Linked DNA regions of Nothobranchius furzeri. The protein of the gene in region 1 interacts with the protein of each later gene in a biochemical or structural test. Links are inferred from orthologs where the notes say so. Each region holds a gene or a part of one and is shown on either strand. Other genes may lie near its edges.

The links.
Region 2: the proteins of siah2l (region 1) and egln3 form a complex in vitro, tested with the Homo sapiens proteins (2 studies listed by BioGRID). The link is inferred for Nothobranchius furzeri from reciprocal best matches to the Homo sapiens genes SIAH2 and EGLN3.

What each region holds. Positions count from the first base shown.
Region 1 is NC_091750.1:26,734,197-26,738,272, reverse strand, and holds the start of siah2l (E3 ubiquitin-protein ligase Siah2), read right to left. Parts: upstream 2,918-4,076; 5' UTR 2,687-2,917; coding exon 2,300-2,686; intron 1-2,299. UniProt on the Homo sapiens protein: E3 ubiquitin-protein ligase that mediates ubiquitination and subsequent proteasomal degradation of target proteins.
Region 2 is NC_091758.1:7,726,565-7,730,696, forward strand, and holds the start of egln3 (prolyl hydroxylase EGLN3), read right to left. Parts: upstream 2,836-4,132; 5' UTR 2,722-2,835; coding exon 2,362-2,721; intron 187-2,361; coding exon 67-186; intron 1-66. UniProt on the Homo sapiens protein: Prolyl hydroxylase that mediates hydroxylation of proline residues in target proteins, such as PKM, TELO2, ATF4 and HIF1A. Target proteins are preferentially recognized via a LXXLAP motif.

The DNA of each region.
Region 1 (4,076 bases):
ATTGCTGAGAAAAGCTGGAGTTATTTTATCAGGATTACTTTGTTTCCATAAATCTGTCAGATCAACTCTTATGGGCTCGACACACGGGAGGCGACATCGCCTCTCCTCCTTTCATTTTCAATGAGACATACGCGTCAAAACGATCATCGCGGGTCTCCCTCCTACCAAGCGAAACGCGAAAAACGTGCGTGTGAAATTTTGCGCTCGTGCACGTGTCGTGCACAGGCGACCCAGCGACGCGATCCCAGAAAGTTGAAACATTTTCAACTTTCCGTCACTGTCACTCGGGCGAGGACCAATCAACGGAGGTTTCATTCACTGACCAATGAGCGGACAGGATGCTCCGCACATCTCCGAGCTAACATGGAGGAGAAGTTGATTATTATTATGTTTTATAGTAAAATCACAAGTAAAATTTCACATAACTCTAGCAGCACCTTGTGAAACATCATATCTACCGCTTTATTAACTCTGAACCGCTTAAATAACCTTAATTCCCTCCAACCTGAACCAGCCAAACAAAACAACGGAAGTTTCGATTTCGCCATGGAACAGAACGCGTAGACGGCTTTGCCGCTGCCGCGGGTCGCCTCCCGTGTGTCAGGTAATAAAAGCGACAGCGACGAATTTCGCTGATCGCGGTCGTTTGTCGCCTCCCGTGTGTCGAGCCCATTAACAGGGCCGGCTTTGCCGACAGGCGACACAGGCGGCCGCCTGGGGCGCCATCTGATGGATAGGGCGCAAAATTAAAAAAATAAATGAATAAAAAAAGTTTATTAAATTTATGTTTGTAATATGAAATGCACTCTCTACATACTCAAAATTCCCCTCTGAAATGACATAAAATTAAAACATCAATATTTAAATTCTAATGATCTGGCTGCATGACGAGCTCCCGCTCGGGCCACCGCTCCGATGCATTTGACCGTTAAGGGTGCCGTAGATCACGCGCGTGGGCAGCACTGTAGGACACCCTGTTGTCGCCGCGTTTAAACTTTTGATATATTTTATGATGAAAAGAACACCTAAGCCATCGGGATCAGCATTCCGAAAGCGAAGGAAGGAGGAAGAAAAAAAGACGGGCCCAAAGCAGAGGCATGTACACTTTATACATTTGGCAAAGGAACTTTTTGCGTTACCATTGTAGCTAACTGCCTCTCCTGCCACGCACGGTCCATGGACGGACCCTTGCTAGCTGTTTACATACACAATACAGTATCTCATAACTTTAACCAGTTAATTTTACTTTTGAATCGTCGTGTCCAGATGCAATGAGACAATATCTGCAGCCTGTCGACAGGCACCTGTTGACACCACGGGGGCTGGGACTGTCTTCTACACCTGTTGAGCCTCACTGTGAAGATGATGAAGAATGTAAGATTTTTTTACTGGTTTTTGGAGTATGATTGCAGCCTTTTTATGAACTTTGTTTCAAGTTTTAAGCACGCATACAATATGAATTTCAACTTTGTCCTTCACATCGGGCGGGCGGCACCGCCGCGGCCGTGGTGGGGGCTCCCCCGCTGCCGCCGGGCCCGACGGGGAGTGAGAACTGCCTAAACGCAGCATGACATCTTATGGCGTCTCTTTCTTGTTTACGCTGCAGCGTCTTCTATCCAGGCATCACGCAGCAGCACATTTACTGAGCTACAATCTCAGCATCTAGAACCAGGTGAGTAAGTTACTTGGGGGGGGGGGGGGGGGGCGCACATGGGTAGTCTCGCCTTGGGCACCAAATTACCTAGAGCCGGCCCTGCCCATTAAACGTGCATTTTGCTAATATCAGAATCAGAAAAGGTTTATTGCCATTGTCAGTGAACAAACAATTCACAAACTATAGGAACTTGCTTCGGTACTAACGTGGTACATATAACATGAATAATATAATTAAAAATAGAATAAAGTAGAATAAATAATATCTATGAGAGTTTGTTTTTGGAGGAAATCTATCAGATGTATGATTTAAGGTTGTCTTAAATCACCCCAGATGATTAAGTCTGAGGGGATTTGGAGGTGACGTTTTAACCTCAGAAATATTCGTTAACCTGTATCAGCTGTTTACCACGTGACCAAACGTCTTTACCCCCACCGGCTCCTCCATCATTCTACATCTGCAACTTCTGAGTGTTTCCTGATCAAAGAAAAGCCGTGCGTTTGTTGGCACGAGACAAACAGCTGGTGTCTCTTTAACGAAGTCCAGCCCGGTTGGTTTTGCGTCTGTTGGATAATTCCAAATGACGTCACCTGACACACGCGCACAGAGGGAAGCGGCGTGAGTGTGTGTCCCGGTGTCGGTTACCTTGCAGGGGAACGGTAGTGTGGAGGCCACCTTCTCCATGGCCAGGTTCCGGATGCTCGGGCTCAGCGGAACGCGGCAGGTCGGGCAGCAGCTCAGCTTCTGGCGGCACGGGTTACAGACCAGGTGCCCCGCCTGGCACTGCAGGATGGGCGGCAGCACGTAGTCGAAGCACACCGGACACTCGAACAGCGCCGTGAGCTCCGGGGGCTGCCCGGGAAGGACGGCGGAGGGCAGCGACACAGAGCCCGACCCGGCTATAGTCCCCACACCGGCGACGGCTGCCGCTGCAGCGGCGGCTGAGGCTGCTCCTCCCGGGCCTCCGTGCTTTCCTCCGCCTGCTTTGCCGGCTCCGAGTCCTCCGCCTCCGGCAGACGACGGACGGCTCATAGCTTCCAGCTGTGGTCCGGTTGTTGTGCGGCCGAGCAGGTGGTACTGTCATTTACTATTTACAACCGGACGTCCCTCCGGGGTGAGACATTTGGAAACGTAGAACGTCCAAGGAAGGTCCCGCCTGTCTTGCCTCTGATTGGCTGAAAGTGCTCTCCTGCGATTCCGCCTAGTTTGCCGCCAGATCTAGAGCAGCCATTCATAAAGAAATTGGCTGTGTTCAAGATAAAGCCTGGCTCTCACCTGATCTAAGATCTGATTGGTTCACATTTTGATCCAAACATCCGGTGGTAGAACATGAAATGTTAGTTGGTCACATGTATTCTGTAAATCATGTAACGATGATGATGACAACTATATAGGCCATAAAGAGGAATGTGTTTTGTGTTCTTCTGCCACGTTTCCTATGAACACACTAAACCTACAGCTGATAACCTTTACTTATTATTACACTCAGATCTCCATATACAATATATGATATCCACAAGCACGTGAGGATGTGTTTCAGCTGCTAACAGGCACCACAATTAAAATGGAAAATTAAACAAGCGTGAACGCTAACGCGATATCTTCAGCCATCGTCACCCGTGAGCTACACATGTAGGAAATTGTGTCTCACTTAAACACCGGCTTTCAGCCGCTCCCCCTGCTGCTTCCGTCGTCTCCCGTCTGTTTTCCAGGCGAGGCGCTGTTCAACTCAATCATGGCCTTCGTCAGCTTAGCGCTATAATAACCATTCTGTCCTCTTTTGCATCAGTCCAAGTTCCGATTAAAGGAACCGGAAACACGTTAAATGTGAGCTTGTAATACAACCTATTGCATTTTATCACACTGTTTACAAGTTAAGCACATTGCTCATCTGTTTAGTTGAAAGCTGATCATGATTTAGACCTTTTTTTAAGCTGTTTTCATTATTCCAGAGGAGAGACAGACCTGCTGCACACAGCTGGGCCACATAGGGCAGTTTTATTATGCTTCCTACCAGGTAAGGCTCACGTGTTTATCCTGTGTACTCTGATTTTAATAAGATCCTCTCAATGCTTGAGAGCCGAGAGGTATAAAAGGAGTCAACAGTGTGACAAATAAGTTCACATTTTACGTTTTTCAGTATTTTAAATAAAAGAAACATAAAACAATATTTTACAAAACTAGACAGAATGGTGCTAAGTTGACATTTCTTTACAAAACTCGCCAAAACAGCTGTTCTGTTGGCGGCAGGACAGACTGCCCATAGCCAATTGTGGTAGAGTCCTTCTAGCCAATCAAAGGCCAGAAAGGCGGGATCTTCCTTAGACATCCTACGATTCCAAATGACGTATCCAGCGCTGCTCACACAACATGGGGGCTGCTGTTTTGGATTGTATTTAACGCGCAGCTATTGGTTGGATGT
Region 2 (4,132 bases), on another chromosome or scaffold:
GGGAAATGCTTGTAACGTAATGCTTGCAACAATCAGCCATCGCAGCGGCAGAGGTGTGAGCTGTACCTTGGGGTCCCAGTTCTTGTTGAGGTAGTAGATGCAGGTGAGGCAGCGTCCGTCACAGTTCGGGTTGTCCACGTGTTTGACGTAACCTGCTCCGTTTCCTGGGTAACACGCCACCATGGCCTAAAGGTAAACACACAGGGAGAAGGTGCATCAGACCAGACGGCTGTGTCCTTCAGCTAGAGACAAACGTTCTGAATGCGTGAGAACCAAGCTGCCTGGGGTGGTATGGTCATCTGCGCTCACGACGCCTTCTGGGCTAAGCTAAACTAAATGGCATTGTAATGCTTTTGTACTTAAATGTAATATGTAATAATATGTTGATACAAAAAACCTTTAATGATCAGAAACCTAAGCTAGCACTAGCCAAACGCCTCTGACGGCGTTTGTCACGATTATCATTTGTGTCTCAAAGGGTTCTGGGTTTGTTTTGAACCAAGTTACTTATGATTAGCAGCTCGATTTACCAATCACACGGTGAAGGCTTGCAGTGTTCACAAAACTTCCTGCAAACCTTCACAATAAGAGTCTCAAACCTGCACACGTAGCTGAGAACCCCGAAGGCTCTAAACTAGTCTGCTGATGGGGTTCTCAAATATACCTCAGCTGACTTCAGGAGTGATTACCAGAAAAATCGGGAAATAAGTTCCCTCAAAGCTCAGCTTTAGAGGCAGGAAGTGGCACCGCCAGCAACAAAACTCGTTTTAGAGTTGTTCAGGTGAGACGGGATTAAAACCTCCGTATAAAACACTCAGAAATTACAAAACGGTCCAAGATAATTCCAGATCAGTAAAAGAATTCCTCGTAATGTTGACCATCTTTGTATCAGCAGCTATCCCGTTTAGGTGCAGTACCTGTCGCCCAACACACAAGTCCAGTAAAACCCACATTTGGGGTAAAATAAATGATGTCAGCCCAGCTGACAGGAAGTAGGATCTGTGAATATCACCAGAGGTGTATCCTGCGGTTAAAAGGCTACGACCTCGGTTGCATGACTCAAACAGCACACATGCTGGCTCAGGTTTGACTGTGCGTGGGCCATTTTATGTTCCATTATCCTTGGAGGTCCTGTGAGCTACGTCCGGGTCGTCTACAATAACAAGTGAGTGGATGAGGAGGAGGAAACCCATTTTCACTGCTTAGCTGTCAACTCCACACCTAAACAGGAAGTGTCCGCTGAGCTGAGGGCAGCAGATGCTTATCAGATGGCACGGCTTGGGGTTTCCTCGCAGGAAAAAACCGTCACGAACAGTCTGTTGACACGTTCTCAAGTGAACCTGACCCAGATTATTACAGATTACACACACCCTCAGAGGAATGCCTTTTATAAACTGTATAATTTTGGGATATAATCCCAATCCCACAGCAACAGGAAGAATCGAGCTTTCTCACCTGAAAGTGCATTCTTCCAGGTTTTAAACGCACCAAGCCTTCGTTTTAATCACAAACTTTATTTCTTTATCTTTTTTTAATCCTAATTTATAAATTAAAAATGGTGAAGAAGAAGAAGAAGAAAATATCATTTCTATAGCGACTCTCAAGATAAAAATCACGAGGCGCTTCACAAAAACAAAATATATAAAAATTGTAAAAATAAGGGGAAAAAAGCATTTTGAAAATGTTTAAAAATTGGTTGGTGGTGGGGCCATCGATCACATAATATCAATGAAACCTGGTTCCAGTGTCTTTAAGAGTCGAGATTGTGTAGTTTTCTTCTGTCAAAACGTTTTTTTTAATGTCATAAACAAGTAAAACTAGTTCATTCATTTGAATTCTACCATTGTTGTTATTTTTAGACTCCGAGAAACGCTTTGGGAAAAGTAAACTTGAAAAAGTAATGAATTTTTTCTCCAAAAGGCTAAAAAAACAACAACTAAGCATCAGAAAATAAACCAAAATGTAGATTTTTTAATCAGATTTTGTCAAAAGGATGATGGTGCCGCAGTTACATTAAAATGAAAGGAAGTTAAATGTGACTAAAGGTGTGGGCTGTTTACAAACACGAGTGGAGGCTGTCCAACACACTTACAGACCAGGAAAAGTCAAGAACAGCTTGGGATTAAACATTTTATTCCATGAAAATACACATTTCCTGATTGGTTAAAAGTTTATGTAGAGTAGTTTTTTGGTAATTCATTATGATCAACACATGCTCTACTCCAGCCTGAGGTATGGACAGCTTACAGGTGTGACAAGATAAAAGAGAAAGCTGAAGTTCTCCCAGTGAGACATATTTTGGATTAGGTTTCAGGAATGACGGGAATGTTTCCATGGAGTTTATCCAGGTGGAGCTCTTACCTGGGACCTCTCTCGGATGGCTTTATTACCCAGGCGGCTGGCGCACACGGAGATGAGCCGATCCACCAGGGCGAGCAGGAAGCTGATCGCCTCGCATCCCCGCTCGGTGCCGCTCACCCACGCGATCTTATCCCCGCGGATGCTCTTCCTGTTGATGCCCGGGACGGTGCCGGCCAGACGGCCGTCCTGCAGCTCCCCGGAACGGTGCATCTCCTTCACCTGGTCCAGCACCGCGCTCCCGGCCGGCTCCCCGAGGAGTCCGTCCACGTAGCAGAAGCCGTGGGTCAGCAGGGCCGGCACGACCCGGTCCAGCGCCAGCCGCTCCAGGTCCGCGTTGGACATATGCTCGATAAAAGGCATGGTGACCGCTAAAGCTCAGCCGGAACGAGAGGACTCAGACCAAGACGTGCCCGCTCTCTGCGGAACAGTTGAGCGGACGTGCTAGTGTTTGGGTTCATAAGCTGTCCAGCTGGAAAACTGTACACATACCACTTCCGCTAAGGATTTCCAAAATAAATCACACGTATTTAAAAATGACAAGGTTATCCAATTTGCTAAATAATTCTTATATTAAACGGTGCTTTAAAATTTACCTCACACAATTACAATACAATACTTAAAATGGTATGTTCTAAATGCAAATGTCACAACAATGTAGGCAAACATTCTCTGTAAGAATCGGTGGAAACAGGTAGTCTGTTGTTCGGGTTCAGAAAAATAGTAACTATTTATGGATTCATTATTTAAAAGAAATACTAGGTCCTTTAATAAATTTGTTTAAGCACTAAAGTTAAACGACTGCTCATCAGAAGGTAATTTGAAGTCAAATATTTTTTTAAGAAAGTGAATCTCCAACCAGAGGATTTCCACAAAATGTTCTTGGTTTTATTTTCATTTTGAAACCTTCTGACTTTGATTTAGGCTTCCAGAGGGATGCCTACCCTGGCAAGTTATCATATACATTAAATAGTCTGGCCACGACCCATAGATGGAGCTCAGTCATAGGGCAGGACCTACGGTTGTTTTTCAAACTATCTCTACATGCTATTGACCCTTTGCGCGCCACTCATGTGACCGCCCCCTTCGCCATAATGGACGGCAAAAAGACCATTTACACCCGTTGAAACGCCAGCAAAGCTAGCCAAAACAAGCCAGTTTGTAGCCTTTTATCACTTTTATTTAGTTGATTTGACAGGAAAATGGTTTTAACTTGCTGTGTGGTTGGCTGCACTAAGAGACACGGATGTAAACTCAACTCTTTTTTTTAAATAACTTTGATGGACAGTGAGGACAGAGATGAACTGCAGCGATCAATCAAGCAGACTAGCAGGCCTAAGATTTGCAGCGAACATGTTTTTACCGGGTAAGATTAAGGTTCTTTTATTTCTCGAGGAAGACAGGGACAGGGATAAATGTGATGTGTTTATAAAAGTTATTGATAATCCTGATGGACGGGTATTTCACCACAGAGGCTGCACTCCGTCCACTGTAGTGTAAAGTGAGACAATTATTAACAATATTAAAGCTCCGATGTATGATTACGTGTGTTAAAATGACATTACTTATTTATATGAGTGTCGCCATTCAGAGATCTTCTCATTCCGGTGTGAGAGCAGCAGCTCAACCCGGTAACACCACCAGCAACAGAAGTTGGTAGGGATCCGGACTTTTTAACAATCAGCTTTGGTGTAAAGTGAAACGCTGTTTACAACATAAAGTTATAAATCCAGAGGGGTGAATTTAGGCAAAGTCAGCAACATGTTTGGTGAAC